3 linked regions of the Xenopus tropicalis genome follow. The protein of the gene in region 3 purifies or fractionates together with the protein of the main gene of each other region. This does not show direct contact. Links are inferred from orthologs where the notes say so. Each region holds a gene or a part of one and is shown on either strand. Other genes may lie near its edges. The genes, in order: vamp4, stx6 and vti1a.

Evidence for each region.
Region 1: the proteins of vti1a (region 3) and vamp4 purify together in Homo sapiens (affinity purification with mass spectrometry; 4 studies listed by BioGRID and IntAct, counting the BioPlex papers as one, with this or other methods). This does not show direct contact. The link is inferred for Xenopus tropicalis from reciprocal best matches to the Homo sapiens genes VTI1A and VAMP4.
Region 2: the proteins of vti1a (region 3) and stx6 purify together in Homo sapiens (affinity purification with mass spectrometry; 3 studies listed by BioGRID and IntAct, counting the BioPlex papers as one, with this or other methods). This does not show direct contact. The link is inferred for Xenopus tropicalis from reciprocal best matches to the Homo sapiens genes VTI1A and STX6.

What each region holds. Positions count from the first base shown.
Region 1 is NC_030680.2:107,505,439-107,509,087, forward strand, and holds part of vamp4 (vesicle-associated membrane protein 4), read left to right. Parts: intron 1-223; 5' UTR 224-299; coding exon 300-365; intron 366-875; coding exon 876-922; intron 923-3,649. UniProt on the Homo sapiens protein: Involved in the pathway that functions to remove an inhibitor (probably synaptotagmin-4) of calcium-triggered exocytosis during the maturation of secretory granules.
Region 2 is NC_030680.2:100,853,783-100,858,035, forward strand, and holds the start of stx6 (syntaxin-6), read left to right. Parts: upstream 1-1,434; 5' UTR 1,435-1,504; coding exon 1,505-1,539; intron 1,540-4,079; coding exon 4,080-4,249; intron 4,250-4,253. UniProt on the Homo sapiens protein: SNARE promoting movement of transport vesicles to target membranes. Targets endosomes to the trans-Golgi network, and may therefore function in retrograde trafficking.
Region 3 is NC_030683.2:3,543,995-3,548,198, reverse strand, and holds the start of vti1a (vesicle transport through interaction with t-SNAREs homolog 1A), read left to right. Parts: upstream 1-1,312; 5' UTR 1,313-1,453; coding exon 1,454-1,547; intron 1,548-3,921; coding exon 3,922-3,980; intron 3,981-4,204. UniProt on the Homo sapiens protein: V-SNARE that mediates vesicle transport pathways through interactions with t-SNAREs on the target membrane. These interactions are proposed to mediate aspects of the specificity of vesicle trafficking and to promote fusion of the lipid bilayers.

The sequences.
Region 1 (3,649 bases), on a different chromosome or scaffold from region 3:
TTTGTCTAGATAATATTGTGGGCACATTTCAATCTATAGGGAGAGTTTGGGGTGCTTTGGAGCTGTGTTGGGGCTCCTTACAAAAGCATTGTTCAAAACACCTAAAACAGCCCCTTGTGCCATTAGACTTAATAGTATAAACTATAGTATAGTTATATAGTATAGTTCTAGTTTGATTTTCTAATAACATCTTTTTTTTTCTCTCTCTCTTTCTACTGCAAAGGCTGACTGCTATACAAATACATTGCCCTCACTGATCATTGTCATAAAACACAAATTCACATCAAAGGAAACCCAGTATGCCTCCAAAGTTCAAGAGGCACCTCCACGATGAGGAGGTTACAGGTTCAGTTAAAAGTGAAAGGGTAAGTCTTTTTTTTTATATTCAATGTTGTCTATCACGTAGAATGCTCAGCTTGTTTTCCAAGTCACGTTAATAGAAAATAGTGTATATACTGAATTTAATTGACCAGGGCTACAAAGAGATGATGTTTCCATTGGCAAACAGAAAAAAGCAGAGTTCAGTCAGTGTTTAGGCTGGTGGTGGGCAGGCAGACTTATTGGTGGGTGAACCACATAACATCACAGATGATGGTTTTTCTAAGAGGAAACTGTCAGCTCAAGTCACCAACCAAATGAATGCAACTGATGGTCCATTAAATTGCAGTCACTTACAAAAGTGTGCATCCCCTTCAATGGGCTAAAGAATGATGGCTTCCTCAAAAGCAAGGCATGAATCCATTCTTGATGGGGAAAATCAGAAATCCTATATTTTGTTAGAGAGTTTATTTTGACTTTGAAAGATGGTTTCCAATACATCTATATCATTGTTTTTATTAGAGTAGAAATTTCTAATCCTTTTTTTTTATTTTCAGAGGAATCTGTTGGAAGAAGACTCAGATGAAGAAGAAGATTTCTTCCTGTAAGTTTTTTTTTATGGTCTTATAAATATATATAATTACAATTACAGCACAAATCTTGTAAACTAAAAAGTAACATGTCATATATATATCTCAGATTTGTTTCCTGGCATTGGCCAGTGTTCCAGTGATGAGGCAATTCTGCAAGCCAGTATGCTGGATACAATTTTCAAATACATGACAGTAGTGTTTTTGGGGGTATTTTGACAGAGAAAAAAAACATATAGGGCATAATCTACTAGTATCTTGTTTGTGTCCTGTGAGTTGATTGTCACTGTGTCACAATGGAGTATAATTAATCAATATGCAACAAAAAAATATGAATTCATTATCACCGTTTTTATTTATTCCCAATATATTAAGTTGGATTCATTCGTAGGGATGCATCGAATCCAGGATTCAGTTTGGGATTCAGCCAAATCCACGCTCCTGGCCAAACCAAATTCGAATCCTAAAAACCATGTGACTTTTTGTCACGTAAACACGTTTACGTTTACTGTGCAAACCTAATTTGCATATGCACATTTGGATTTGGTTTGGTATTTGGCCGAATCTTTTACGAAGGATTCGGGGTTCGGCTGAATTCGAATAAAATGGATTGGGTGCATCTCTAATTATTAGGCATATGGTACTAGTCAGGAATGATAGATTAGTAATATCACAGTAACCCCTATATCTAAACTGGGAAGTGATGCAGTGATTTGTGGCAATTCCAGGTACATTACAATCTTTTACATCTACAATCTTTTAGTATACTACATCAACAAGGACACTCGGATTTGTGTAATTTTAGAGGTTTTTTTTCAACCTTGACTAAACTCACATTTTTAAAAATAAAGATCCCTTATTTATTAAAAAAAAATCTAAAAACAAAAACGTGGATTAAATAGGAATACAAAAGAAATACAATTTGATAAGGACAACTCCCATTGACTTCAATATGACCATGCCAGCTTTTAGATCGCAAAGTTTTTCATGGTTTTATACTTGATAAATAATAAAAAAAAAAATCAGTGTTCTAGAGTAATTATCTTTGTAAGTAGAACTGGTTTTAAAGGGGTTGTTCGCCTTTAAATTAACTTTTAGTATGATGTAGAGCAGGGATTCCCAAACCTTTCTTGCTTGTGAGCCACAGTCAAATGTTAAAAGACTTGGAGAAAAGTTCATGGAGGAGCCAAATAAGGGCTAAGATTGGCTATTAGGGGCCTCTATGCACACTATCAGCTTACAGGGGGCTTTATTTGGTAGGAAATATTGTTTTTATTTAACCAAAACTTGCCCCCAAGTCAGGAATTTAAAAATAACTACCTGGTTTGGGGGTGCAGAGAGCAACATCCAAGGGGTTGGGGAGCAACATGTGACCCCTGAGCCACTGGTTGGGGATCACTGATGTAGAGGATGCTACTCTGAGACAATTTGCAATTGGTCTTGCAAGTTTTTATTATTTGTGTTTTTTTTAATTATTTCGTGTTTTGTTCAGCGGCTTTCCAGTTTGGGAATTTCAGCAGCTATCTGGTTGCTATGGTCCAATTTAACCCAGCAACCAGACAGTGGTTTGAAAGAGGAATATGAATCGAAGAGGGCCTAAATAAAAAAATAAGTTATAAATTACAAAGTAAAGTAACAATAGAAATAAAATTGTAGCCTCACAGATGAATAGCTTTTTGATTTTAAAAGTTGGAAAGAGTTAGAAGAGGAAAGCAAATCATTCAAAGGCTATAAAAAATGAAGATAAATTGAAAAGTTGCTAAGAATAGGCCATTCTATAACATACTAAAAGTTAACCTGAAAGTGAACCACCCCTTTGAGGAAAATGTGTGTTCAGTTGACCCTACCCATACCGTTACTGTAATGGAGCATACATTTAAGTAATACATCCTGGAACAAAATCCAAAAAAGGCGTGGGAGGAAAAAGCAAAACAAATGAAAGCTTACACATAGCCGAGTCATGTCGGCATCTAAGTCTGTGAAGGTAAATAATTTGTTTATGGGAAGTGGGTGCTAGTGGGGCTCTCCTTACAGTGTGTGCAGGACAAAAAGTCTGTCTTAAGAAGACGAAGATCCATAAAGCATTTTTGTGGCTGGTAAAGGTAGTTGCAATTTAAACCGGTGTTTTGTCCTGTTCTTTTTTTTTTTTTATCCCTTTTTGATCCCTGAGTATGCTTTTTAAAATAATGTAACAGGTCTTTCTCATCTGGTCTTTTAGTCAGCTGCCTTTCAAAGTTGTGTAGATTTAGAGCCCCCACTGCAGAGAATATAAACAGCCAGGCAGCAAGATACAATATTTAATAACAGTAACATTCACAAGTAGTTTTTCTAATTGAATGTATACTGGAAAGTTGCTTAGAATTATATTTTCTTTCACTATTCATTTTGAGTTGACAACCCCTTTAATTTGCTCTGATGTGTCTGACATGATGCAAAAACCACATTGAGGATAAATCACCATAACCTCTAGAAATATTTCATACCCTGTTCAGTGAGATCTATTAGAATGTCGTCATGGTGTTTTATTGCTTACAATGGGTGACTGTCATGAAAAGTTTTAAAAGATTGCCAAAGATTAATAAACCATATTCTTTGTGTGTGTGTTTTTTTTAAATGGAAATGCTGTCACTTTTATTCATATTCCATATTAAAATTCAAGTACAAAAGTTGATTAAATTATCAGACCGGTTGGGGCTAGTGCTAATTATCTGGTATGTTTTTTAGATTATACAAATTTGTCC
Region 2 (4,253 bases), on a different chromosome or scaffold from region 3:
TACATTTAGTTTGTTATAGCTAATCTTTCCCCCAATATGCCCACCTTGAAGTTGTTGATTCTAGATAGATCCAATTGGATCACAGGATACAGGCCATTGGGACTCATATCCATGAGTCAATGCACTCCTCATCCCGACGGGATTTTTAAACCTGTTTGTAAGCTGCTGACAGCTTTTATCGGCCTGTGTATGGCCACCTTTACTTTAAACTACAGGACTCCTTACATGTCCAACATAAGTAAGTATGTTTCAGGGCATAAAAAAAAGTTTGTGAATTGATAAGGGGCCTTTAGGGTGGGCGTTGCAGAAGACATTGCAGACATTTCCTTCATGGGTATGATGTTTAGTGGAACTGTGTAATCTCAGTTTTATTGTGGCTGAAACCAACATGGGCAACGTTGGTAACGACTGGTAACAGAAACTGAAAACTGTACTGCAGGGACATAACCATAATGGTGCATGGCAATAGAAGTTGGTTTGATGCACTGTAGGAGCAATTTGCTGAGGACAGAAATACATTATTTAGCTGCACCAAGCACTTTAGGAGCAATTGTGGGTGTCATATGTGCTGTGAGCATAGCAAGGAGACTATAACATCTTGCAAGTGCAATACGGCTTGACAATAATGTAAGAACTGTATAGGACTGTGTTATGTAGTTCATTGGATAGACAAATAATTCAGGAGACACTAAGAGATATACTATAGGGCAGGGGTCCTCAGCCATTCTTACTCGTGATCTCAGATACTAAGATCTATGTATGCCATCTTTGAAACCACAGCTGCTCTTTTTCATTTCCAAAACATAAACAAAAGGCTAAGCAACAATATAAATATATACATTTTTCACAAATCTGTATATAATTAAAGTTAAAAGTATTAAGGCAGTTCTGATGGTTCTATAAGAATATCAATAGATGGAAATACTCAAACTCTAATAACTAGCACTGTTACAGAACATATGAGAGCTCTAGAATTCTGTTACAGAGCTCGGTCCCACAAGAGCAGAACGTGCTAAATGAAATGGTTGCTATGGACAATGTGACAATGCTACAGAGCATTCTGTGTAATATAATAGGGCAGAAAAGGTACCTAGCCATGTGGTTGGGAGGCTACATCACAAGCGCAGGTAAAGGCACAGCACCAGCCCTCTCTGGACAGTACAGCTTGTCGCCCCTCCCCCTCCAGTATCTGCACAAATAAGAGAGAAGCTTTGCTTGTTTGCCCTCACCTAAAAGGTTTTGTACGCTCACACTTAGGGACTGGTAACGTGGGTGTAACAACACATTGAGATCTGCGAGATAAACAAAACAATGCATCGTTGTACTGTGATTTCTCCTGTTTCCTGTCAGCTGGTACAGAGAACTGAGTGCCGGATGTGACGCTTTTGACGGGAGGGGCATGCTTTGTGTTCTATGGTACACTGAATAATAGGGAACAAGGAGGCTCTGGGAAGTATCGGTTAACCCTAGGGTAGGCACAGGTAGTGCCAGTGGGAGCGGAAAGATGTCGATGGAAGATCCGTTCTTCGTTGTGAGAGGGTAAGTACAGTCCTGGGGACAATGCTCAGAGATAACGGGACTCGGGCAGGCAGTGAGTATGAATGTGTGGGATGGAGCGCTGTTCTGCTATCCTGCCAGTACAAACATGGCTGCCTGCAATTCTGCTATCAGGGTTGTGGTCAATGTTCCCCATAATTTATTTTAGTCCGTGTGCTCAAAAAATGTATTTTGTGCAACTTTTAAGGACTAGTGTACTAATGTGTGCACTGCATCCTACTCGCATGCATTACATTTTTTTTATTAAATCACCTTACTTTTGCATAGACTGCACAGACACAATGTTCCCAGTGAGTAGACACTTGGATTGTATTTTTAAAGGAGAACTAACCTGAAAAATTCCTGACGGATAGTACAAACATATGCTGGAATAGTTTTATGGTATTTCTCAGCACAAGCTATAAGCAAGCTTAGGGGGCTGTTCCTGCTGAATTGTGCTTAGTACAGGGGAATCCCTATGCTGCCATAGTTTTATATTTTATGGTATTTCTCTGTACAGGCTATTGGCAAACTTAGGGCGTTGTTTTTGCAGAGTTGAACTTCAGAAAGCTGAAATAATAATAATCACTAGCAAGCAACTGTACAGTTTACTTTGATAGATGAGGCTGCATCACAAGCACGGGTAAAAGCACACTGCCAGTACTTGACTGCTACACAGCTCCAGCTCCCCCTTTTCGTTTTTGGAGTGTGGGAATAAACCTGGTAAACATAGAAACTTCACACAGAAAGTGCTTAGCCTTGTTGCCAATATGGTGGTGCATTTTTATGACCCTTTGTGGTATCTATTTACAGTCACACCAGTGGCACATTCTAATGAACCCTAGAGTCATGGCACCTGGCACTGACTGGCCCGCCTGCATGTCTTCTTACCTCACTTGTTTGAACTCTGGAACTTGTTGCATCAGATAGAGCCATGCTGGTTGGCAGGTCACAGTGTGTAGCTGGAGCCCAGCACTTAATTACACACAAGGAGACTAGTAGCTAATACTTGTTAGAAGGTAAACATACTTATCACGTATTGGATAAGTGGGAGGCTAAATACCATCGTATACTATCGTTTATCGCTATTGTATACTTGAAAACATGCTGGGGCCTAGTTTCCATCTTAGGGAGGTGGCAGACAGGATGATTAGTCGCCCGCGATAAAGCTTTGCTACCATGGGCAACTTATGTCCCAAAATGGCATCTCACAGGCAAGGATGTAAATTGCCGGTGGGATGGCATATGCATTGCTTCGGTTTTCCAGTGTCACGGCTACAAAATGCCAGAAAATACCCTACCATAGACAATGCTAAGAACTGTCTCTGCTAAAACACACGAACAGACAGTTATTAATATTGGCTATTTTGTAGCCACTGCAAGTAGCTCCATTGCCAATAGGCTAATGCCACATGGGGGCTGATCTTTGTCTGCAGCCAGAACGATTGCATTTACCCGGGTCCAGGCACACGCAGTGGATATATCGGCGCCCAACCACCCTATAGTTTGCATTTTGCAGTGAATATCCGTCATTCTGACACAATAGTTCTGTGTGCAGGCAAAGAAGAAAGCTAATGTCAGCATTGGGGCTGATTCTTGGCCTGTGCTTTTCTGCAGGCTGAGATCAGCCCGTGTGGCATTACTCTCGTGCCTGAATACACATCACACCAATAGCATTTTAAAAAATCATGGATTAGGCGGAACATTTGGTATGAATATGTGGTACTGAAAAAAATGCATATTTTTCTCGTGTTTTTATGCTGATATCTTCATCATATTCATTCAGAGCTATAATTCCAAGCTACATTCAAACCAACGGGAACATCATTATGTGCTTGAATGGATTCCCAAGAGTTGTCTAGAATTCTGGACTTGCTGCAGTTACACTCGAGAAAAGTTTGTTGCTGTTAATATCTAAAAACAAACAAAAAGCCACAAGCTCTACAACAGTGCCATCCAATTAAATGACGTGGGCCAATTATTTCTTATACAGCATGTTTGAGGACCAGATTAAATTAAAATTATGATGTTGTATAATGAAGTATATGAAACCTTTGAGCTAACTGAGGGTCATATAATCCTTTGGCTAGCGGGCCTCCACTTTTACAGGCCAATTCCTTGGCATTTCTCATACAGGAGAAGAGTTTTCATTGCAATAGACAGAATATCTTTAGATTCAGAGCTTCCATATACTTTGATGTCCTGCCTGGCAATTGTTGACCCCCTAGGCAGTCCCTGTGGTCCCTGCCAAGCATTAAATTAAGTAAGATTCTGTTTTTGCATTGGTTATGCGCATAGTGAATGGTGACAGGGGTGGATCCAGCTGCAAGGAAGCTTAGCCAAGGCTTGTGCAGTGTGTGACTGTTACACATGGAAAAGCGTACACCAATCCTGTGCAAGAGAGAGACACATTACCACAGAATTGTTGGTCTTTATTGCCCTTTGACGGTTTAACACTAATGTTAAAATTCTGAAGAATTACAATGTCGCAGATGACCTACATCTGCTTTTTCCAGTAACTATCACCTGATCTTTTGTTAAAGGGAAGTACAAAAAGCGGTGAACACTGCCCAGGGCCTGTTTCAGCGATGGACAGATCTTTTGCAGGATCCTTCTATTTCTACACGAGAAGAACTGGACTGGACAACCAATGAATTGCGCAACAACCTTAGGAGTATCGAATGGGATCTGGAAGACCTGGATGAAACAATTAATAT
Region 3 (4,204 bases):
TGGGAATGGGAATGGGGCAGATAGAATGGTGGGGCTATGAATGGGAATGGCAAGGGGCAGATAGAATGGTACTGCACTGTACAGTACTGCAGATTTATTGATGACATTTCACTGTTTGAGTCCCATTTATATATAAAGCCCCAGCGCTGTGGGAATTGTTGGGGCTCCGGGAGTGCTGAGGAAATGGTCGGAGGTAACAAAGTTCAGAGATGTGACTGTTGGGAGTTGTGGGGAGGTGCTGGGAGGGTGCGGGGAGTTGCTGGAGGTGTGGGGAGTTGCTGGGAGGTGGGGAGTTGCTGGGAGGGTGCGGGGAGTTGCTGGGAGGGGGCGGGGAGTTGCTGGGAGGGTGCTGGGAGTTGCTGGGAGGGTGCTGGGAGTTGCTGGGAGGTGCGGGAGTTGCTGGCTGCGGGGAGTTGCTGGGAGGGGCGGGGAGTTGCTGGGAGGGTGCTGGAGTTGCGGGAGGGAGGAGTTGCTGGGAGGGTGCGGGAAGTTGCTGGAGGGTGGGATTGCTGGGAGGGGCGGGGAGTTGCTGGGAGGGGGGGGAGTTGCTGGGAGGTGCTGGGAGTTGCTGGGAGGGGGCAGGGAGTTGCTGGGAGGCTGGGAGTTGCTGGGAGGGGGCGGGGAGTTGCTGGGAGGGTGCTGGGAGTTGCTGGGAGGGGTGGGGAGTTGCTGGGAGGCAGGAGTTGCTGCTGGAGGGTTGCTGGGAGTTGCTGGGAGGGCGGGGAGTTGCTGGGAGGGCGGCGGGGATGCTGGGAGGGCTGGGAGGCTGGGAGGGGGGGGAGTGCGGAGGGGGCGGGGAGTTGCTGGGAGGGGGCAGGGAGTTGCTGGGAGTTGTAGATGACTGACAGTCAGGGGGCTGCTTCCGCCATGCAGACAATCCTGGGGACAAACGCCCTCACCCTATAACCCAGCCCTGAGCAACAGTCTATTCCGCAGTTTTGTACTGTAAATTTAACATTTTATAATAAAGACTTAATTATTGCCTTTGCTGGGCTAAAGAGCTTGCAATCACTGGGCCGCAGCCTCAGGACATGGTGGAATGAAGGTAAATAAGTGCTGGGCCGGGGAACCTGCTGAAGGTAAGACTTTCCCCCATTAGGGGCTCAGTATTGGGGCAGAACAGGTGGATTTGCCCCAGTCACTAAGTGTAAGGGCAGAAGGAGGGGCGGAAGGCTCATTGGGCTCCTCCCAGGGGCGGGACATAGCTTGATAGACGGCAGATCTCAGCCACACAGCGTGTAAATACGAAAGCCCCGCCCCGGAAGGCGTGGTCTCACTGAGGGACGGATCCCACTCAATGATAAAGTGGTGACACAGGCTCCTCCCAGGGGCGGGTCTGTTACCCAGGAAGTGCTGGTTGCTAAGGGCGCGGGGGAGTGCTGAAGGTTCGGACCGGCGGAAGTGGTTGGAAAAAAGACTTCCGGTTATCAGCTCTCCACTGTTTTGGCTAAACATGTCTTCCGACTTCGAGGGTTACGAGCAGGATTATGCGGTGCTCACCGCCGAGATTACCGGCAGGATAGGGAAGGTTCCCAGGCTCATGGGAGGTGAGAGGGGCGGGGGTGGGGGCAAGAGAGTGGGGTATGGGGGGCAAGGGGCGGGTATGGGGGGGGGAATAACAAGTGTCAGGGGCGGGAAGCTAGTGGGGAGACATGGGAGGGGGCCACAGGGGGTCAGACATGGGAGGGGCACAGGGGTCAGACATGGAGGGGGCACAGGGGGTCAGACAATGGGAGGGGCACAGGGGGTCAGACATGGGAGGGGCACAGGGGCAGACATGGGAGGGGGCACAGGGGGGGACAGGGGCACAGGGGGCATGGGAGGGGCACAGGGGGCAGACATGGGGGGCACAGGGGGCAGACATGGGAAGGGGCACAGGGGGGCAGACATGGGAGGGGGCACAGGGGGTCAGACATGGGCACAGGGGTCAGCAGGGGGGCACAGAGGGGTCAGACATGGAGGGGCACAGGGGGTCAGACATGGGAGGGGCACAGGGGTCAGACATGGGAGGGGCACAGGGGGGCAGACATGGGAGGGGGGGGACATGGGAGGGGGCACAGGGGGTCAGACATGGAAGGGGGCACAGGGGGTCAGACATGGGAGGGGCACAGGGGGGAGACATGGGCACAGGGGGTCAGACATGGGAGGGGGCACAGGGGTCAGACATGGGAAGGGGCACAGGGGTCAGACATGGGAGGGGGCAACAGGGGGGCAGACCACAGGGGTCAGACATGGGCAGGGGGGCAGACATGGGAGGGGGCACAGGGGGTCAGACATGGGAGGGGGCACAGGGGGTCAGACATGGAAGGGGCACAGGGGTGGGCACAGACATGGGAGGGCAGGGGTCAGACGCACAGGGGTTGGGCACAGGGGGCACATGGGGGGGCACACAGACATAGGGGCAGACATGGGGGCACAGGGGTCAGACATGGGCACAGGGGTCAGACATGGGAGGGGGCACAGGGGGTCAGACATGGAAGGGGCACAGGGGGTCAGACATGGGAGGGGGCACAGGGGGTCAGACATGGAAGGGGCACAGGGGTCAGACAGGGAAGGGGCACAGGGGGTCAGACATGGGAGGGGCACAGGGGTCAGACATGGGAGGGGCACGGGGTCAGACATGGGAGGGGCACAGGGGGGCACAGGGGTCACATGAGGGGGCACAGGGGGTCAGACTGGGAGGGGCACAGGGGGTCAGACATGGGAAGGGGCACAGGGGGCAGGGAGGGGCACAGGGGGGGCAGACATGACATGGGAGGGGGCAGACATGGGCACAGGGGGTCAGACATGGGTCAGACATGGGAGGGGGCACAGGGGGTCAGACATGGGAAGGGGCACAGGGGTCAGACATGGGAGGGGCACAGGGGTCAGACATGGGAAGGGGCACAGGGGGTCAGACATGGGAAGGGGCACAGGGGGTCAGACATGAGGAGGGGGGCACAGGGGGTCAGACATGGAAGGGGCACAGGGGGGTCAGAACATGGGAGGGGGCACAGGGGGTCAGACATGGGAGGGGGCACAGGGGGGCAGACATGGGAGGGGCACAGGGGGAGGACATGGGAAGGGGCACAGGGGTCAGACATGGGAGGGGGGCACAGGGGGTCAGACATGGAGGGGGCACAGGGGGTCAGATGGAAGGGGCACAGGGGGTCAGACATGGGAGGGGCACAGGGGTCAGACATGGGAGGGGGCACAGGGGGTCAGACATGGGAGGGGGCACAGGGGTCAGGACATGGGAGGGGGCACAGGGGGTCAACATGGGAGGGGCACAGGGGGTCAGACATGGGAGGGGGCACAGGGGGTCAGACATGGGAGGGGGCACAGGGGGGCAGACATGGGAGGGGGCACAGGGGGGGCAGGAAAGTGGATGTGTGGGAGGGAGAGGAGGGGATATGAGGATAGAAAGGGCAGGTGGGGGTGTAAATGTGATGACCTGATTCTGCCCCACCCTATAATTACCCTGTGTGCCCCAATACTGCCTCGGCCTGTAGCCTGTGAGTAGGGGGGGCCCCATGTAAATGTTGGCCCATAAAAGAGGTCTGGAACCCAGTGGGTAAGGGCCCCTAGTTCCCCTGTCCCTGTGGTTTTCCCAAAGTGTAAATATAATGTATAATCACTATAAAGTGTATATATAGCGAGTGCCCACACTGCCCCAGTATCCCCAGCATCGTGCTGTATAAATACAGATCCTGCGCAGGTACCTGCTAATAAAGGGGGACCTGCTGCCTAAAGCTGACAATCTAGTAAGGGAAGGGGAGGCGCGGGGCTGGGCCCATAGCGGTACCTCTAACCTTGTTTAGGCTTTACTTCTCCTTTAAGCACAGTTAGGGCAGGATTCCTGCAGAGACTACAGGGGGGAATATCTGCCACTCATTCCATCAGGCTGTAACGTAATATTATTTTATTGTGTTTTATTTCCAGATGAAAAGAAGCAAATGATATTAAATGTAGAGAAGCAGCTGGAGGAAGCCCGGGAACTGGTAAGTAATATATATGTGTGTGTGTGTATATATATATATATAATATCTGACCCTACTTGGGCTAATGTGGCCCTATCCATACAGGGAACATGTAATACTCAGGTTATTAGAGGGCCCAGCACTTACATATTGGGGAGCCCAATGGCTAAAGAGTCTGTAATTCCAAAGGGTCATAATTGCCAGACCATAATGAGCCGCCCATCCAGCTAATGAGCCCCAATGTG